Drosophila melanogaster: one gene and its partners. The protein of the gene in region 4 interacts with the protein of the main gene of each other region in a pairwise test. Each region holds a gene or a part of one and is shown on either strand. Other genes may lie near its edges.

The links.
Region 1: the proteins of tamo (region 4) and CG8924 interact in a two-hybrid assay, tested with the Drosophila melanogaster proteins (one large-scale study listed by BioGRID).
Region 2: the proteins of tamo (region 4) and Paris interact in a two-hybrid assay, tested with the Drosophila melanogaster proteins (one large-scale study listed by BioGRID).
Region 3: the proteins of tamo (region 4) and CG8534 interact in a two-hybrid assay, tested with the Drosophila melanogaster proteins (one large-scale study listed by BioGRID).

What each region holds. Positions count from the first base shown.
Region 1 is NC_004354.4:15,939,494-15,945,000, reverse strand, and holds CG8924 (uncharacterized protein), read right to left. Parts: upstream 3,925-5,507; 5' UTR 3,369-3,924; intron 2,630-3,368; 5' UTR 2,550-2,629; coding exon 1,711-2,549; intron 1,652-1,710; coding exon 946-1,651; 3' UTR 552-945; downstream 1-551.
Region 2 is NT_033779.5:4,461,717-4,465,575, forward strand, and holds Paris (parkin interacting substrate), read left to right. Parts: upstream 1-1,894; 5' UTR 1,895-2,070; intron 2,071-2,124; 5' UTR 2,125-2,129; coding exon 2,130-3,170; 3' UTR 3,171-3,359; downstream 3,360-3,859. Other genes in the region: CG15443 (uncharacterized protein), read right to left, coding at 108-847, 908-1,244; FIG4 phosphoinositide 5-phosphatase, read left to right, coding at 3,522-3,602, 3,664-3,859.
Region 3 is NT_033777.3:9,810,842-9,814,471, forward strand, and holds CG8534 (uncharacterized protein), read left to right. Parts: upstream 1-1,905; 5' UTR 1,906-1,963; coding exon 1,964-2,188; intron 2,189-2,373; exon of another isoform or gene 2,374-2,391; coding exon 2,392-2,964; 3' UTR 2,965-3,098; downstream 3,099-3,630. Other genes in the region: eloF (elongase F), read left to right, coding at 3,341-3,541, 3,607-3,630.
Region 4 is NT_033778.4:24,127,507-24,135,230, reverse strand, and holds the start of tamo (tamo), read left to right. Parts: upstream 1-1,679; 5' UTR 1,680-2,234; intron 2,235-3,391; exon of another isoform or gene 3,392-3,636; intron 3,637-4,793; 5' UTR 4,794-4,831; coding exon 4,832-4,955; intron 4,956-5,017; coding exon 5,018-5,217; intron 5,218-5,282; coding exon 5,283-6,551; intron 6,552-6,617; coding exon 6,618-7,418; 3' UTR 7,419-7,724. Other genes in the region: Naa35 (N(alpha)-acetyltransferase 35), read left to right, coding at 1-4; Zfrp8 (zinc finger protein RP-8), read right to left, coding at 61-750, 805-889, 947-1,215. UniProt on the Drosophila melanogaster protein: Has an essential role during oogenesis and embryogenesis, perhaps in modulating the levels of nuclear import of additional proteins. Modulates the nuclear import of dorsal (dl), Dif and male specific lethal 1 (msl-1).

The DNA of each region.
Region 1 (5,507 bases), on a different chromosome or scaffold from region 4:
CAGTGTGACCGTTGATTGAACATGAAAAGAAATAGATTCTATGAGAAGTATTCAAAAAGCGCCGTTTCCACTTCAACATTCTGCGCCTGCACTGTGCTAATCTACATACATATGTACAAATATAAAAAAAAAATGATTGACAGTAACAGTACAAATTTCAAATAATAAATTTAGCAAAAAAAAAATTGTTGTTACTTTGAATGCATTTAAACTTTTATTGCCCAATCATCTCGTACACAGTACTTATGTATTTAATAATACTTTCACAACGTAATTTATTATTGGGATTCTTGCATTTATGGCCAATTGTTATAATGACCAAAAAAAATAAGCAAACAAACAAACCGAGTAATTGTAAGCAAGTATTGAAGATTTGCGTATTCTTGTAGGAAAAGTACATGGTTTTAAAATAGATCGGATGTATTTGACCAATAATAATTACTTTACATTATTATTTAGTTTAAGCTGTTAGCATTATGATTATGTCTTTTACGACCTTCGAGTTTATTATAAATTTTCATCTTATCTTTGCAATCACACGAATACCCAGTAAAAGTTTCCAGGTCGATTTTATTTATCTTATTAACAATACAGTAATTCCTTAAAGTACTGGGGCGACAAGAAACATAATTGAAATTTTTACGCAAGTTTTTAGTCATAATCCTTGTTGATAGCATACATCTACTGTAATTTCTTATGATTGCCAAAGTAAAATGAATAATGATTGAACGGCAAGAGTTTTTCAACCAAGGATAAAACTGTGGCATCTCCAAAGCGTAATTAAGTAAACCTATGTATAAATTGTATTTTGTTGACTATGTTATGACTAAAGATCCCACACGAGCCGATGCGTACCCCGAAATGAAAGAAAGCAGCTACTGCTTGGAAATCCCTCTCTATTAATACACGCCCTACTAGTACAGCACAACTTGGCAAATTGCGTGGTTAGATCATGTGCAGCTTCTGATCGTTGAGTTTGAATGCCGCCGCATCGCTATGGAGGTGAAAAGGCACAATATCACCTGTTGTGGCCATATCAAATGATGGTGACATAGACGTTGCCGTTGCAGTTGCCGGACTATTGCTGCCACTGGTATTTGCGATGCCCGCCTTGAGATGTAGGCTGTCCATGGACATTTGCTGAGACTGCGTGTGAGGAAGGGGATTGGTGTGGATATGCGGATGGGCTGGGGGATGAGTTATGCTCGCTGGGACGGTTGAGAGTTTTCCTGAGTTTGTTGTGATTATTATGTTTCCGGCATGGGAAGCACCACGTCCACGTTTCCGCTTCGGAAGAATTCCTTTTCGCGCCATATAGAAACGAATGGTTGAGACAGGAATATTGAACATATTGCTGACAGTTTGGAATGTCTCGCCCTTCGAAACACATTTGGCCGCTTGTGCTAGAGATGCTTCTGAACGTCGAACGCGCTTATATGAAGTATAACCATCGATCGAGCTATGGCTCAGTCCTCCGGAAGTATTGGCCGATGTATCGAGATCAGTGTCAAGGCTGAGGGATAGCCCGGATCCGCATGGCACTCCTGTCGCAAAACTGCTGTCATTGTTTTCATCATGAGCGGCCACATAGTTGTGGTCGTCCTCAACATTTGAATCCAAGTATTGCTGCTGCTGAAGCTGCATTTGCATCCTGTGAAAAGATATATATATTTATCCAGAGATACTTGTCATATTAATGCAAAAACAAACCTCGCCTGCTGCAGGGATAGGTGGACATTCATTTTGTTGTCAACGGCTTGCGCAGATATATTGCAATCATCGAATTGCTCCCCGTAGGCATTCCAATTGTTCGGCACCTCGTCGCCGGAGTCATCCTCGGTTGGTGCATTCGAGTGGCTGCCCAAAACGTTCGTAGAGGTGGCCTTAGATGGCTGTTGAGCATTACTGCCATTTATCTGGGGTCGCTGCTGCACCTGCTGCTGCTGCTGCTGTTGCTGCTGCTGCCGAGCATCGGGATTCTGGCGCTTCAATACTGTGGGTTGCTGATGGTTAACCGGTAGCGGTGGAGCGGAGGAGGTGGTCATTGTTGTTGAGGTGGTTGAATTAGTGGCTGCATCGTCCGTTTCCGCGCTGTCCACATGCTTGAAGCTTCGCGCTGTGGTTGCAGCTGGATCCTTAGCAGCCTCGAGACTCGCCTGCTGGAGTTTCTTGTAGTTTATCGGTGCCTCAGAGCCGTATAGACCGCGAATCTGCAGTTGTTCGGCACAGCGAAGCAACTGGCCAAGACCGGCTTGCGTGACATTGACCTCTCCCTTGTACATGAAGTCCACAAGCGCCTGGATCTCCCATAGCTTGATCTCCCTGGGCAATATGATGACCGGGTGCTTGCAAGGATGCTCCGCTAGTATTGCCTCAAAGTAGGTGGAACAAGCGGCCAACACCAGACGATGGCAGTGCACCTGTTGGCCTTCGCATGCGAGTGTTACATCCACGAATCTCTGGCCTGCTAGCAGCTGCGGAAAAGCAGCTCCAATGCTGCCCAAATGGCTGTTCCAGCGTACACAAAATTCCTGTGTAGCGCCGCTCATCGTACTCAAAATATAGTTCGCGCCTTTACTGTGCTCCTGAGTTTACGAAGCTATCGCTCATTTAAAGATCCTTGTATATCCTGCAATAGAGTGTTGGTAAATTCCAGGATAAATTATAACTATCGTCAATAGACAATAATTCGAATATATCATAAATTCGACTCTCTTGAATGAACTAAGAATAAGGATCAAGTAATTTGACCGAATCTTTCTCGTGACATCATAATTCTAGTAGGTTTCCCTTAAAAATATTGTATTGCATATTAAGTATATATATTATATGAACTCCTTTTGTTTGATTTTTGATATATGAAAAAAAAAGATACTTCTTTTTTTTGCATTGCATTAATATTTGCATTTCATTTAATAATGGATTAAAAGAAAGAATATTTTAGCCAAATATATGAGTTTAAAAATAGCATTGTCCCTTTTCCACTTTTTTGTATTGTTTTTGCATGACAGTTACGTTATTCCTAAGTTTTTATTTGCTTTCTTTTTAGCAGTTGACCACTGTATATACATACATACATACAAACACACGAGCGTACATACAGGTGCAGAGGTATATGCTTATTTACATTTGATAATCGTCCAAATAAATAATGTCCTCAGTGTGAAACTGAGGAGAAGACCATGCGAATTTTCACTTGCCATGTTTTATGTACCCACATACATACGCACGCTTGCATAAATACATATGTACACCTCCACTAGCGATTTGCACAATTGGAATTACTTCTATATTTAGTAATAAGGATGTAAACAGTTGAATGTACGCGTTATATACATGTACGCATCCCTGCGAATCTGAATACATACCTGTTTGTTTGCCAAGGAACCGAAACTTCGCTGATTATAGTTCTTTACTTCTCGTTTTTTGGGCGCTATGTAACACAATAGATGCGATGGCGTGAAAACGAACGAGAATTTTATGTTAGGACTGTATGTCCTGTGCGCGTGAGCTATGTATGAATGTATCAGCGCCGGAGTCTTGTTTAAAAATACACACTATTCTTGCATCAAATCGTGCACAACACAAAAAAATATGTACATTTCAGGCATTAACCAATGTCTCTATTTACAATCCCTCATCGTTGTCCGTGAGTCCCATTCAATTCGTTGCTTTATTAATGTTTATTTTAACCAGAAATGCTGCATGCGCGCGATTATATTTCCTTTTTTTATGTACAACTGTTTGTTTTGACAGACTATAAACAAATAAACGGCAAATTAAAGTGCCAAATCGATTTGCACGTTATGCGCTGAGTATCTGCCTTTTTTAACTCTGCCTTCAAGCTATATTTAAATTATAAACTTAATATTGTCTTTCGCGCTGTCTGCTTCTGTAGCAATCAATTGTTATTTAAACTACGCGTTAGGCATAATTGCTGGGAATTGCAAGCGTTTCATAAACGCGTTTCTGAGTAAATGATTCTCATGTACCGGGCTTTTTTTATATTAAAGTTTGTTGTTAATTTTTCAGTTACTTAATGCATGCAATCGATAAAATTTTTTTTAGCTGAATTATCGCGGAAACAAAACTATTTATATTGAAATATTAAAATATAGATAGGGATCGGTGGGATAACAGGTTTCATATGCGAAAAAATTCCAGTCGTTCCGCTTTTATATCCACTAAGCGAAAATTGCCGAACGCAAGCATATCGATCTTTAAATGTGAAAAAGCCAACCATAAGCTAACAGGATAAATATTAAATAATAGAATAGAAAATACAAATCAATATTTGAGGTAAGGCCGTTACAGGATATTTTTGAAGAATTATCGGTAATTATCGAAATGCCCTAAAAAGTGGAAACAGTGTATTAACGGATACTTTACAATGTATGTATCACTATTATACGTTGCATATATTTCTTCTATTGTCCTTTTGCTAATATATTATGTTGCATACAAAAACTTTAACCTATTCGGCAAAATATACAATAGCTCTTACATGACAAGTGTTTGCAGCTTAAAATTTGAAGTGTACATTTTTCGCTTTCAGTCGACTGGTCACACCGTTCAACCCAAACTGACTCGGGAATTTTAGGGTGAGTGCTTTTATTTTTATTTGAGGTCTAAAAAAAACTTATGGAAGTTTACCATTGGGCATCCGCATATGTGTGGTTATTAAGTGCTTGGCTTTGACATTGTAAATTGTGCAGTCATAACGCAGCCGGATCCAACCAGACATTGTTGAAATTCCCAGTTTTCTGCGTTTTTAGAAGTAAACAAATGCTGATGCCTTCCACAACTTACATATCTACATTCGTATATAGTATCAATGTCTAATATTAAAAAATATTGTAAAAAAATGAAGAAAACAGTTACACAGTAAGGTTTGCATATGATTTTGAATCCATTTACTGCTGCCATCTAAATGTACCGTTATGTGCTGTCTTTGCAACGATATCTGTAGGAATTCATTGTATTTTACGCATTTATTTGTTTCAAATTGGAGATCAAAAACTATCCCAAATGTATTGTAACTACACAGATGTAAAACGCACATTGGTATAATATAATAGATCAGAATGATAGTATAAGTCTAGTTAGGTGTCGAAAATGTTTTGCTACAGCATCCGCAGCTAAACTTACACTAGTTAACAAAAACGCAAATCCAAATCTAAAATAACTGCCCAAAAATTAATTTTATGTTGGCGAACCGAAAACTCAACCATTTTATTACTCATGCCGTTTCCCTAATATTTGCATTTCTCAGTAAATTTGCGCTCAGGCGGTTATCTTTAAAGACCCCTAAAACTGAATCTCATTGACAAATAAAAGCCTCGTAAGTCTGTGCCCAGTAAATCTTTATTTATTGGCCAATGCAATAATACTTTCGCACACAGTTGGATTTGCTTGATTATTTAATCAATTTTCTTTACGTACTATACGCTTCGGTCACTATGGAATTTAATAGAATATGGAATATGCGTTATAAAGTCGAGAGAAAA
Region 2 (3,859 bases), on a different chromosome or scaffold from region 4:
TGTTCATTTACAATACATTCTCGAGTACTCAAAAGTCCGTGGCTTTATATTTATATGTACTCTAAGACCAATAAAGAGATTTGCAAGACTTATTCTTAACCATAAGCCTATGCGTATATTTGCAAGCTATTCAGTACCAGGTTGGAATCTGCTACCTTCAAGTGCAGACAGTTCTTGAGCAAGCGCATCGCGTCCAGGTTGAGATCTGGATCTCGCAGAGCGAAGAGCTGGTTTAGGGTTTGCACAAGATTCTGCGGGTCTGCCAGTGCGAATATTAGACTTGTGTCACCTAGGGCTACCAGATTGGTCATTACACGCACGGCGTAGATTAGGCACAGCCGGTCGGCTGGCGATGCTAAGGTGGCTTCAAAGAAACGCACCAGGCATTCGGCCTGTTGAGCATCTAACTTGTGCTCCTGTGTCACTATTTCCAGTTGGTGCACTATGTACATGAAGTACTCGCTGGCAGGCTGGCCGTGGAGCTTCTCAGGCAGATTCTGGCCAATGTACCTTCGATCCTCGTCACTCACATGCTGCGGGCAGCGGGTGGCCACCAGGGAGAGGCAGATGGCCGCATCTTCTTGGCAGCCATTGGGCTCGATGTAGAGCCTCCACAGCTTGGGTACTATTTGCATTTGCAGCAATACGCTGCCGGCCTTGTCGCATGTGCCCAGAACGTTGGCCAGTGTCCACAGGCAACTGCGCTTGAGGCGTTCGGCCTTGCCATCAAGGTAGGTGACCATGTAGCTGCCCGCCAAAGTGACAATCTTTTCGGAGACATGGGCCTCGCCCAAGGAAAGATTACACAAGCACTCCACGGCATCTGTCTGTCGTTGAATGTGAGGTCCTGAAAGTCAAGTCAACCTTTTTATATAAAACTAAAGCTAATGAGGGTGCAGTTGGTTACCAGTTAGCTCCTTAACCAGAACCTGAATGGCGCCAGGAATAGCTGCGAATGCATTGATGTTGTCATTGCTCTGGAGGAACCCCAGCGACAAGCGGCACAGATCCTCGGAGGTGGCGTGCTTGCGACGCTTGATCCTGCTGGCCATTCCAATGACGTCCTTGGTGCCCATCTCAAGAGCCGCCACTTCCTGCTTAACCTGTCCAAGTCCAATGCGCAATGAGTCTTTCGCCTTTATGCGGCACTCAACACGGTGATCCTTGGCATATGCACGAATCTTGTTTCGCAGAAAACTTCCCTCCCCAGTTGTCGTCACAAAGTCCATTTGTTTAAATTTCATGGAATCCTTAGCAAGTGAGCAATATTCCGATAATAATAACAGATTATCGATAACTATGAAAGGTTAACAGCACTTCACTCATCAGCTGTTAAAATTGTAAACAAAAAAGGTACGCACTTGTTTGTTTATATTTTATTTGGAGTAAGTAATGCTTATTTAATTTCAGGTCAATGGTGGTAATCTGAGCCCGGAATCGATGGATAAACATATTCAGTGGCACCCAGGAACCCGATTTTTCATATGTGAATTTATTTTTATACTGGCAAAGAAGTTCGGCGAGGAGATTCATTTCCTTTTTGTGCCTTTTTAATTTAATTTTTCTATGATTTCCACGGAAAAAGTCCAGTGCTCCTTCTGTCCAAAATTATTCACCACTAGCTAGGCGAAAATGTGAAAAAACTATACGAAGATAAATGTTTGTTTTTCCAAAGAAATTTATTTCAATTTTATATTCTTCAACAGGTAAAGGATATCGATATCCGATAAGAATTTTCCCATCAAAACTTGGGCTGACCACCACAGGGCGACCCTTGCAAGTTTGCGTTTATCTCAGCTGTTAAATATGGTAAACACACCTTAGTTTCAAAAATCATCATTTTGATAAATAATTTGAATTTCGAACATCGATAATAAATCGATTTAGCATATGGCCCAGAGAATAGGGTGCCCAGTGTACTGTGCACAATGTGAAGTTTAGCTTATTATTATTTTGAATTGTTCATCAAGGCAATCGCATTAATTTTCAATTAATTGGGATGTATGAAACGGATTCCTAAATTATAAAAGATTGCTTTTCCAGCTATAAGCTATTTAGTATATACATCAGGTAAGTAATATAGTCCTTCATAAAGTTCAGCCTAATAAGTATTGTTTATTACAGGGATAATGGCGGAAATATGCCGAGTTTGTATGGATATTTCTGGTAAACTCGTTAACATATTTGACGCCAGACGAAGAACCAGAGTTTCCATTGCCGAGATGATCGCGCAGTGCACCGGATTCGAGGTCAAACGTGGCGATTTGTTTTCGGAAATGATATGCCCACAGTGCTATGAGGACGTAAAGAGCGCGTATGGGATAAGGCAAACTTGTGAGGAAAGCCACCAGTTCTACTGCCGAGTTCGCGATGAAGGCATCGAGGATGCTTTATGCGCCTTGCTCGAAGAAGAAGACTGGGAGATTTCGGAAGACGAAGATGCGCGGATTGATTCTGCATCCGCTGCTGATGACGATGGGAAAAGCGACAGCAAGAAGGTAGCATTCGAATGTCGAGAATGCCACAAGAAATACCAGCGAAAGGGAACTTTTCTGAGGCACATGCGAACACACATGGACGGACAATCCTTCCCATGCCCCTACTGCAAGCGGAACTTTAGACTTAGAGTCACTCTCAAGGCGCACATGAAGACCCACAATGCAGCGAAACCCTACGAGTGTTCCCACTGCGCCAAGACCTTTGCGCAGCAGTCCACTCTGCAGTCGCATGAGCGAACTCACACTGGCGAACGACCATTCAAGTGTTCACAGTGCTCAAAAACCTTTATTAAATCATCCGATCTCCGGCGTCACATCCGCACACATGGCAGCGAGAGACCGTTCAAGTGCTCCAAGTGCACGAAAACATTTACGAGGAAGTTTCACCTTGATAACCATTTCCGTTCTCACACTGGTGAACGACCATTCAAGTGTTCCCACTGCCCCAAGGCCTTCGCTATGAAGCAGCACCTCAAGCAGCACAGCCGCCTGCACTTACCAGATCGTCCATTTCGCTGCTCCCACTGTCCCAAGACTTTTCGGCTGAGCAGCACTCTCAAGGAGCACAAGCTCGTACACAACGCTGAAAGAACATTTAAGTGTCCTCACTGTGCCAGTTTCTATAAGCAGAGAAAAACACTTGCTAGACATATCCTCGAGATACACAAGTGACCACTACTTTAAAAACACTTGGAAGACATATCTTCCATGTGCACTACTTTAAAATGGACAAAAATGATTTTGCTAGATGATAAAATAAGCTAACATATTCATAGGTATTGTAAGAATAAGGCATAAAATTGGTTGGTAATGAATATGCCTATTTTGATATGTTTTATGATGGAATAAAATGTTATTTATATTTGATTGAACCAAAACAAAATTAATTAATCGACTCCCTCTCACGCTGCCAACACTGGCCATTTCTCGCATATCCAACTACAGATGATGATCAGCTGTTTGTTGTTTATGTGGGAGCGGCCTGAGAAATTGTAACAAAAAAATTTCGGAAAAGCTGAAAAAATGAACAATGATAATCCGAATATAGTTTTCAATCCCCTGATAAGCTCCATCCAAAAAGTAGTGCTCTATGAGACACGAGCGGTAAGAAATCACCTCCAGCTGACCTTTTTTTGACTAATCACATATATCGCCATAATTTCAGCGCCTCTATTTGGTGGGCAGCAACAATCGGGAGACTCGGTTTCGCCTCCTGACCATAGACCGACTTGCCCACAACCGGCTGAGTATCGAGGAGAATGCCAACGAGTTTAACAGCCTGGAGATCCGACGTTTTGTCGCTTCCCTTTCGGGTTCGCCCAAGGTGACGTCCGCTTATGGCGTCCTTGGATTTGTGCGCT
Region 3 (3,630 bases), on a different chromosome or scaffold from region 4:
CAGTTTTCGCATTTCGGATTCAGGCCGACGAAAAAACTGAGCAAATGGATTTTCCTGTGGTCAAGCTGAAAGCAGGGCAAAGGTGGACAATTAAATTATTATTGCCGCGATATTTAGTCGTGTAAACAACATTAATGTGTCGAAAATAATAACCACTACCATATTCTTTTAAAACTTTTACTTTTACTTAAACTGAAATCCTCTGTAATGTATGAAATTCTCCATATGTGCTTTCTTTTTAAGTGCACCTCATTTAGGAGCTGCTACCTTTAAGAAATTTTCCTTTCCATACCAATTTTCTTTTGGGTAGTGGCAACCAAGGAGCGGATCAATGTGTGTCAATGGGCCTGTTGCCTCCAATTGAATCCACCTGTCCGCTGGCGGAGTGCCGAGCTGCATGCCTGACATGCAGCAGAATATGCCAAGTCATTTAGATGGAATCGCTCACATTTTTAATGACAACTAATGCGAGTGCCCTGCACCACCACCACCAACAACATCACCATCAGCACCACCCTTCGCCAACCTAGTTTTTGGGCCCGGCTTAATCACATTTCCAGGAGCTCTCTTTCGGGCAAAAGTGTGTATGTCTAATGCGCAAAACTTTTAATTGAGTTTAAAATTGCATGAAGAAGGGACGAACCGAAGGTCCTCTGCCAATGGAAATCGGCAAGCGTAATTAAACGCGAGTGCGTGTGTACATATGTATATGCGCGCTGTTTTTGAAGTGTGTCGGTTTCAATCTCGGTAAATTGCCCATGAAATATTAACTCAACCATAATGAGACGCAATTTGCGTATCTTTCGCAGTTTTGCCAACGAAATTTGTGGCAGGCGTGTAAAATGCCACACATTTGTGCAAGACAAAGGTTGTACCATTTGAATTATAAATGCTGTGGTTTTATGTCTTTGACCTTTTTACCACCTGATCGCATCTGATGCACCTGTCCGCTCAAAATACAATGGCAAAAAAAAAAAAGGAAGCGCCATAATCCTGCTTATTCCGCGCTCAAAGGACACTTTCTGTGACCCAATTATGGCCATGAAATTGTGACACATTGAGGCCTCGCTGCATTCGCCCTCGTCTTTGTACATTCCCTATAATCCAGTGCGGAATGAAAAATGACTCAATTTGCAATGGCCGGCGCACAACAGCACACCTTATAGCGGAACACAATCCCCCCAATTGCCACATATAGTGACCCATCCCATCCCATTCCATCCAGCACCAGTGTCATTATTTTCATTTCCACCGCAGCCACAGCTGCTTAATAAGAAGTAATTCTACCTTCCACACGGTTAGTTAGTGGAAAATGTCTTGGCTTATGGGTGGAAATTCCCCCCCTTTTCTTCGCATCGACAAATGGCTTTTTGGTGGCATGGCACGAAAAAAAATCGAAGTGAAAATGTATGGATCGCATTTTCCGACTGCCAGATATCCGCTATTGAGATTCACAACATGGTGCACCATGCACCATGTCAAAAGTTGTTTAATTGGAATTCTCACTGGCGTGAACACTACGTGCATACGCGTTCAACACGATGCGTATAAAACAATTTACAAGCGGCAGAATCGATGTTTTATTGCCATGCTGGCGATTTGCAGTTCAAGTGCAGCGCGCAAAAACTTGAACTTTTGTCATAAAAGTTGGAATAGTTATACTGACCGATTGGTGAGTGGAAAAAAACGGCTTAGTGTTTCTGGTAAAAAAAAAAAAACAAAAATATTGTCTTATTGGCTTAGTATATATGCTCTGAGTACTGTGTGTACTGAGCAAGTGTATACGTACTATTGCAAAATTAGAATTTATGTTAATGCCGCTCTTCTTTATGCTACGCGACCAGCTCGCATTTCCAATTCAATGGAAGCGCATTTGGTTGAACATAAAAGACTGAACTCTGATTAGTTGCCAGTGAAACATTACCTCGAGTGGAAGCGGATTGACTTTAGATTTTCGTTTAGAATGGCCGATTTACTCAATGGAACCCTAATCATTTCGGAGGATCCTGTCCGCCTGCCACTCATCGGAAGTCCATGGCCATCGCTGACCATCGTTTCGCTCTATCTGCTGTTTGTCTTGAAGTTAGGCAGGAAGTTCATGGAGAACAGAAAGCCCTACGATCTCCGCAGAGTCATCAGGGCATACAACATTATGCAGATTGTCTACAACGGCGTTATTCTGATAGCGGTAGGTACATAGAACCCAGACGGTCATAAGTCACTACAGAATGCACCATTCTGCATAATCATTAATGTGACATAAAAATCAGATGATCTTATAAACTTAACTCAATGATCTTAATAAATCTTAAAATGATCTTAATAAATTAACATAGAGGCAACATAAAAATATAGACTGTGTTCCATACTTACCACATCCTTTGCTTCCAGGGTCTTCACTTTTTGTTCGTCCTGAAGGCCTACGACCTGCGATGCATCACCAAACTGCCGCTGGATCACGAGCTGAAGAGCCGAGAAAGATGGTTGACCTACTCGTACTTCTTCAACAAGTTCATGGATCTGCTGGAGACTGTGTTCTTTGTGCTGCGCAAGAAGGATCGCCAGATATCCTTCCTGCACGTCTTCCACCACCTGGTGATGTCCTTTGGCGGATACCTGCACATTACCTTCAACGGCTATGGAGGCACTCTGTTCCCATTATGCCTGCTCAATGTGGCGGTCCATGTGATCATGTACGCCTACTACTACCTGTCCTCCGTCAGCAAGGATGTGCAGACGAGTCGGTGGAAGAAGTACATCACCATTGTCCAGCTGGTCCAGTTCATCCTGGTGCTGGCGAACTTTAGCTACACCCTGATGCAGCCCGATTGCAATGCCTCCCGAACTGTGATATATACTGGCATGTTCATTTCCACGACCTTCATCCTGATGTTTGCCAACTTCTACATTCACAACTACATACTGAATGGAAGCAAACAGAAGAGCGCGTTGAAATCCGATTGAGGCCGCAAATCCTTTGAATGACGGTGACTGTGTGTTTCGCGATACCGACTAACTAATAAACTTGCATTGGAGCACTCAGCACCAAGACTCTACTGGGCACCGTATTCACAGCTATCTCAGCACTAGCCCTGGCCAAGTTACTCGCTAGTCTTTTAATATCTTGAAGTCACTTAGCATATCCACGAGTTGTGGTACTTGAAAATCAAAGCGTGGATAGAACGCTTCCCGAATTCCCATTTAAAATGCACACTACGGCATACGAATGTAAATGCTCCATTTAAAGAAACATTGTAACAATTTGTGCCACTTAAGGTCGAGAGCCTAATTTCGAGTTTGGATTAGTCACTATCAATCGCACAACTCGATTAGATTCGCCATGTTCGCTCCGATAGATCCTGTAAAGATACCCGTTGTAAGCAATCCATGGATAACCATGGGCACATTGATTGGCTATCTGCTGTTTGTGCTCAAGCTGGGCCCCAAAATCATGGAGCACCGAAAGCCCTTCCATTTGAATGGCGTCATCAGGATCTACAACATATTCCAGATCCTTTACAATGGTCTAATACTCGTTTTAGTAAGTATTTGAACTGGGGCTTCTGGACATCTGCAGGTTCTGATGGGAGGATGCTACTTTTACAGGGAGTTCACTTCCTGTTTGTCCTG
Region 4 (7,724 bases):
GTAAATGTTCACGTGTTTCGTAATTGACAAGAATAAAATTTAAATGTACGCATTTTAATGTCAACTCTGATCCTCCGCCACAATGTCCTGCTTGATGAGAAGCTCCTCCACGTAGCCGTCGATGGGGCAGCTTTTGGCGCAAGTGTAGACGGCCAGGACGCCCCAGTCGAGGTTTTCGTCCTCCAGAAGAGTCAGCGCTTGCGGCATAATCTGAAATTCGAACTGACGCTCTCCTCCGCAAGCAATGCAATTGGGCAGCTTGTTAAGTTGGTCCTCCACCGTTTTGACGGTATTCGTGATCCAGAGGGGCTGGCCTCCACGTTTGTAGCGCACGATCTGATCGGGTTCGGCTGCTGTTTGCTTTTTGAACTGACGAAAGGTCTTGTCATCGGCGGCCGCCGAGTTTCCGAAGTACTTGTCCATCTCCGCCTCGGAAACATTGCTCAAGTCGCCCGTCTTCCCGCTGGACTCCAGCTCCTGGAACTCCGCCAAGCGAGCCTCATCGTCCTTGTCCTCCTCGCCAGACTCCACGGGGTTGCTGTCCATTACAATCTCAAATTCTGGGAAAACGATTTGTGTTAAGGGCTTCTCAGTGGCTACTTCTGGTGCTCCGCAGTTTGGCTTGTGTTGTGGCCAGTGGGCCCTTTGATGCTCTGGTGAGCAGTAGTGGATTGCCTTGCATTTGCTGCAGGCGTGAGGAGCATGGCAACCGCAGGCGGCGCATAGTTTCTTTAGGCAGGGAACGGCGGGCTAAGAAAACATATTATGATGAGTATGTTCTGAAAATATGGCTGCTGTTCCTACCAGGGGTTGACCCACGTCGCTCGGCTCCTCCTCCGAAAAGAACTTATTTTTTCGCGGCAACTGTGACCTGAGGACTGTGAAATTGCTGGAAAGATGGGTAAGATTAGGTTGCAAGTTGGTTTTCAGAGCTAGAAGGGATTACCTTGCATTTTGGGCCTCCTGGCAGTCGGAATTCCGGCACAGGAACACATAGATGGACCGATGAAAGTTGTACTCGTCTTCGAAGGGAGCGTATAGCTGAGCCAGGAAGGATTTGGGTGCCCTGCACTTGCTGCACTGCAGCTGCGACGTGGGCGGCAAGGCCTCCAGTTCCAGCCATGCGGGCTGGCCTCCCAGCTTGCTGGGAAAGTAGCGGTTGCTCAGCCAGGCGCCATTGTCGCTCTTTTCCGCAAATCCCAAGTCAATCTCCATTTCTTTCAATCTCCGAAACGAAACTCGTGTTCAGTGTGACCGCAGCGGGAGCGCCAGAAAATACCTCTACAAATTCCGAAATAACGTTGTATAATAACTGATATTTTCGGGGAATCACACTTTTTGGGTGTTATAATTTAAAATTTAAATTAATTACATTCGTTTAATTTGTTGATTTCGGCAGTTCAATAAAATAAAATATTCTTTTCTTCATTGAATATTTGCGATTACTCTTATAAACATAAGGGGGAAACATAAGATTTTAATTTAATGACATTAATCTGGAAGAATAACAAATCTCATTATCCTGAGCCCTTAAAAATGGCAAGCGGTTCAAAATTATAGAGCGAGGATTAATCAGATAAGGCCCCTCTTCTACGCCACTGATAATAAAGCTTGCATGCCATGGATTTGGTATTTTCCGCGAGTTCCTCCATGGCGATTTCCCAGATTTTGGCCACTTCAGTATGCGGTTATTTCTCACGGTTAAAAGTTCTGCTCTCCGAGTTGATTAAACTGGCTAAAGTGATATTTTATTTACTGTTGTGATAAACGCGTGTGAAAAACAAAGACTTTCCATTGCCCGCGGACACAAACGATCACGAACCGAAGAGTGAACCGCTCAGAAACGGGGGGAAAACCAGTTTTCCCACGATTTGATGTGATTGTGAAAGCGCAACGAGATTTGTCAACGCAAACAAGCAAGAAGAAGAGCCCGTGGATAGCGTAATATTTGTTAATAATAACGGCTGCAAAAACAACAACATTGCGGAAGCAGAATCTCCGACTTGTCGCGTTTCCGTCGCAGCAGCGCTAAAAATAAACCCACCCACGCACCGCCCCCTCTCGAATCGCCAACCACCCACTCCCGCCCACCATCCACCTACCACCACCTTCCGCCCACACCCACGCACGAATTTGGAGAGGTGAACTTGTGTTGACTTTTCCAGCGCGCGGACTTTTCCGAAGAAAAATGCAAAAATGAGAGCCGAGCCACCAGCGGACCACTGGGAATTTGCGTAAGTCCAAGGCGGATGCTTCCTGGTTTCGAATTACAGGGTATCACGTGCGCTGCTGCGAGCTAGTGAACAAGAAGGCACCAGATGTTTGATGGAGTGCACATAGAGAAAAGTTTGTGTAGGAACTATTAGGTGTCCGGTACAGGGTATCTCCGCTTCGATGCCCCTGGCAGTGGCTCGCTTTCTGGCTGCCAAAGAACGAGCCGGGTGAGCTTTTATTTGCTAAATTTAGTGCCGCATTGCTGAAAATAAGAATGGGAGCACCCTGCCATCGGTTGCCGGTAGGCAGACTCATATATATGTATATGTATATGCATAATCGCCCCTGACGGCCAGTGTGTGGTTCGGTGGATCTTTGTCCAGGGCACATGGCCCGAAACTGTTGCATGGCCCATCCTCGTCCTGGCCAATCGATGCCTTCGATGCCGACTTCGACTTGGAGTGCTGCCTGAATCAATAAACGCCTCAAATCCCTGCCATATTGCGTCCATTGTAATGTCAGCACATAAATTCTCTGCCCATCGAGGGGCATTTTCACTCGGCTGCAGGCATTCGGTAGTGGTATGTACGCTATGTGTCCTGGCCAGGCAATAAATATTGAAAATTCAATTAGCAGACGGACGGGCAGCCGAAATGCTATGAATTTATCACCACCTGAGTGCGAATGTGCCTGTGGTACTCATAGTAAATAAGTAACTTCATTGCCATTCGGCCCACTCCACTTGCTCCACCTGCATGCTGGCTATTGATTTTAATCCGCCCTGCAATCATCTTGCTTCATTTGGCCGCTGAATTTATGGGTTCCCACGAAAGCTCCACTTTCTTCGGCCCGCTTTCCCATTTCCCCCACTTCACATTCCCATTCCCACCAACAATGTGTGCTGTTTCGGCGCTGGAAAACATTAATTAAAATTCACTGGACTGGGAAAGCTATCAGTTGCATGCATATTCAATTGATTCATTATTACAGGACATCATACATGTAATGCTCAGCTCATTAATCGGTTGACAGTGCGTTCCTTCGACTGACTGTTTAAATTCCCATTTCAATATTGTTGTTAACTAGTAGTATGTATGTACGTACATATGTACATATGCTTATGTACGACTTGAACCCAAGCAACTAAATAGGAAATTGTCAGTATGTGTAGCGTCGAAATTATTGCATAAGTAAATAAATTATAGAGGATGAGAAGGGAAGTCAGTTTATGTGGCTTGCATAAGTTTGTTTTGATATATTTGATAATTATACGCTTATCACTGCCAATGTTGTTCTCTCCGCACACCGCGTTTATTCGACTCCTCTTGTCACCACTTCGCCGTTTGCTCAGTTGCACTACACTTGTTTATCCACGCCCGCCTTGCTGCTCATTCGCATTCTGATTGGAGCGCCGAACGCCAAGTGAGTCACTCCCCAAGGTTGCTCAGCGTAGTGCCTCTCCGGTGTTCTCAGTATCGAATGCCAAAGGCCAATGGACGATCTCTGGCTCCACGATAGCCGATATCAATATCGAGTTAGCCAGTCAAGTGGCTCGGTTCTCCGGCTGGCGAGGGGGGAGATAAGGGCAAGCGATGCAATCGCGAGGCTTCTGGGTTCCTATCGAGCACTTGTGGGCTTTCCTTCGGGTCAGCGAGCAGATGATACCCAGTTGGGAGTAGTATTTGCCAGGTAAAGCTCATAGATAGTAAAGGGCTGGAGCTTGCTTTCCGGTTATCTATTATCATCACAACAAGTGAGCTCCATTATTGCGCTCACTTTATTTACTCTACTTATTTTCGCGTATATTAGGTAAGCCTGGAAATTGTACATGATTAGCATTTCTGACCTTATGACTCACCGAAGCAAAGCTACGAGCAGCCCCACATTTAGTTGATTTCTATACAATTCGCTATCTTTTATTTCAAAAATAAACCTTAGATTAGATACGCCTTTGCAAATAAACAAAGTATGCTGCAGAGTCTTCCTGGATCTCCACCTAGCAATCATAATAAAGGGCTTCCAGTTGGTTTGAAACCCCATAGATGGACTCTACTTAGTGTTTGGTCATGGTGATAGTTTTAGCTTTGTAATTTCTATTAACAAAAAAAAATTTGTATTTATTGTAAACGAAATCCCCTGAAACAGCTTTTCTCCCAGCCAATGAATCAGCTTCCACTGCATCGGGGAGCACAGTAGACGTAATCACAAGTGAGCTTTTTGTTGTCAACTGTTTTTGTCCGCGAGGGGCAAGTACTGGTTGCTTAGGTGCTCCGCTGGCTGGGAGGAAACTGATAAGGACTCGGGAATGCCACTATCGATGACGGGCCCCAATGGAGCCTATTGTTTGCTCTTATCTGTCCAGTTATTGTTACTCCATTCGAGCCCAGTTGGTTGTTTATTTGTTTGTTTGCTGCATGCCGCGACGGCGTGCGTCATGCGGGGAAGGATGTGATTCTGGTGATTCATGCCAGAGAAGTGCATCCCCACCCAACCCCTGGTGGAAAATCAATAGCCATGGTGGCGCGCTCTGGGCTCTCGAGATGTTCGCCGTAGTGTAACCTTGTGTTCTTGTTTTGCAGGAGCCGGAGGCGCCTTGAATGAGAGTCCTTAGCCCGAGATGTCGGATTTCGTGCCGCACGACCTCATCCCCGATCTGTGGGATGAGATTCTCCGGCGCCACTGGATGTTTCTCGAGACGGAGGAGAGCATAGAGAAGCTCGAGGAACGCAAGCAGCTGGAGGGTGAGTTCGCCGCCTTGTCCTTGTCCTAAATGGAAATGGAACTAATCAATCCGCGCTTACAGGCTGCCTGAAGGAGTTCCTCTGCGTGGTGCAGCACGATCGCAAGTTCTTTCTGCCGGAAACTGGGCATGTCCTGCGGAGGTCTGTGCTCGAGCTGCCCGACTTTTCGGCCCAGAACGCCATCGTAGCCTTCGAGACCATCAGCCAGTATGCCAACAATCTGTTTACGAAGCCATGGCGAAAGGAGTATCGAACTCTCAAGGTGGATATAGGATGATGACGTATACTAAATAGCCACTTCTAACTGAATAATCCTCCTTTCTGCAGACCTATTCGGGATGCTTTCAGCACGACATCCAATCCCGCCTGCTGGACGCCGAACAGCTCTTCCTGGCCATGGGCTATCGCCGGGCTGCCGAGGACACCTTCGTCCTCGAGGGTCCCATCTGTCCGGATCAGGTTACGAATGTTTCGCGCGACGCAATGGCCGCCTACGTGGAGTGCCAGATTATGAAGCACATCTACGCGGGAGTGACGGCAGCGGGATACGTCTGCACTTGGAAGGACATCCTACAGTTCCGCGAGCGTTACGTGGGTGGAACTTCCACGACCATCAAGGAGATGGTCAGGCAGCTGAGTGAGAAACGGGTACGAATGGAGCAGCCACCGATGCAGGAGAATACATATAGCAATGTGGTGAGTGCTGCTCCAACTGCCTGCGGCATGCGCAGCAACAACGTTGCCCATCATCCCAGCAGTTCCGGCACTTGTGCCCTGCATCCCAATGGGCTGAACGAGGCGGGTAAGTATCTGCCGCCTTACCCAGCGCCTCCGCCGCAGCAACCGCACCTGCCTGGTCCGCTGATGACGCATTCTCGCAGCCTGGATCACTACCAGGAACCGCAGGCCCATCTGCCTCACCGTCACTCCTTCGATCAGCAGCTCCAACAGCAGTGCCAGCTGCCGCACGTCTACGAGGCGCCCTATGACTGCTTAGATGGCCTGAGCATGGGCAGCAGTGCGTCCTACGCTGCCGTGACTGGAGCCTACAATGCACCGGGAAACCGCTATCCGCTGCCGTACAACATCTCCAGCCAGCTGAATGCCCCGTATGCGTCGCCCGCCGACTTCTATGGCAATGGACAGCACACCAACATGTACGCCACGCTGGGAAAGACGGGCCCAGCCCACAGCTGCGATTTGCACCGTCGCCAGCCGAACACTTCTGCTGCTGCCGCTGCTGCCTTGGCGGCTATGCAGCACCGTCAGAGCACCTATCCGCCGGATCACCACCTCATCGACTTTGACGAGCGAGCGCATCTGACCCAGCATGACTTTGGGACGCATGACTACGATCCGCAGTATGCCGAGCTGAGAGGTCAGGTGCAGCCTAGCATGCGGGGGAATCCGGTAGCCATGTATGCCACCTACGGGGGCTACGACCTGCCCACCACGCTACCGCAAGCGCCGCCGCCGACCGGCCAGGATATGTACATCTATGCGCGGCCGGTTCCGAAGAGCAGCCGTATGCGGGCTTTGGCCGAGGCGGGTGGCATTAATTCGACTGACAAACATCCGCGATCAGCGGAAAAGCAAGTAAGTTCTAACAACATCATCATACTTATATAATGGTTACATATCGTTGCCTACTCCTTTTAACAGAGCACCATGGACAATAATCGCAAGATGCACAAGGAATTGAAGGAGCGGAATAGTCGGACTGCACCGGCCAAGAGGTCCGGCACTGAACGTGATATACCCACCACCATTTCGGACTTGAACAGTTACGACTCGGCTAGTCTGGACGGATTTGTGGCCCTGGACAGTAGTAGCTCGCCGCCTCTCATGCCCAAAGTGCAGGAGGGTGTCGGCAGTTTCGAGTCCTGGAACTATGTATTCAAGAACCTCGAGCGATCGGGCTACACAAAGGACCTGGGTGACCGCGAGGACTTGCTGGTGCAGAGCTTGGACCTAGGCTCGCTGTCCATAACGAACGGCGGTGCAGCTCCTCCGGCGGAGAAGCGCCGTGAGGCCACGAATCCCACAAACGGAGAGAAGGCGCGAACGCTAGATAAAAAATCCGGTACGGGGCGACGCGAGGCTAAGGTGGTGCAAGCTCCTGCACCCAGTCCTCTGCCCAATAGCAGCAGTGCCGGCGTTAAGAAGGTCAAGTCCGCCTTGAAGACGGCCGTCGTGGACAATCGGGGAACCGGGTCAAGGCAACGCACAGGAGCTGTGCCCAAGCAGCCGCCGAATGTGTCTCCCCAGCTGATTGTGACCAGTCCGAACGAGTGGAGCTGCAGCTTCTGCACGTTCCTCAATCCGGACACGAAGCGCATCTGCGAGATGTGCTGCCGCAGCAAGGACTTCAACCTGGAGGCCGCATCGGCGGCTTCCTCCTCGGCGGCTGCAGCTGCGGCGTCAGCGGCCAGTGTGTCGCACGCATCCTCGACCTGCGTGTAGGATGCAGTGGATGCAACGGAACCCTCGTTAGTGATACAAACAGTGTATAGCTTCATATATTTTTTATACGACCAATGTAAGCCTGTGCGCGTGTCTCTAAGATCTAGTCTCGATCGAAGTCGTCGTTCGATGGCAGGCAGCCCTTTGTCATCCGCATTCGGCTCCTTGGATGAGCGGATGGCGCTGCAGACGGGATGGGTCTGCAGTCTGTACATACGAAGTATTCTAATTAGTTACCCCTACTCGTAAACACACGCTTTAATTAGTTTTAGATTGTTTCCCATTGTTAAGGGCGCTTCTGTTTCA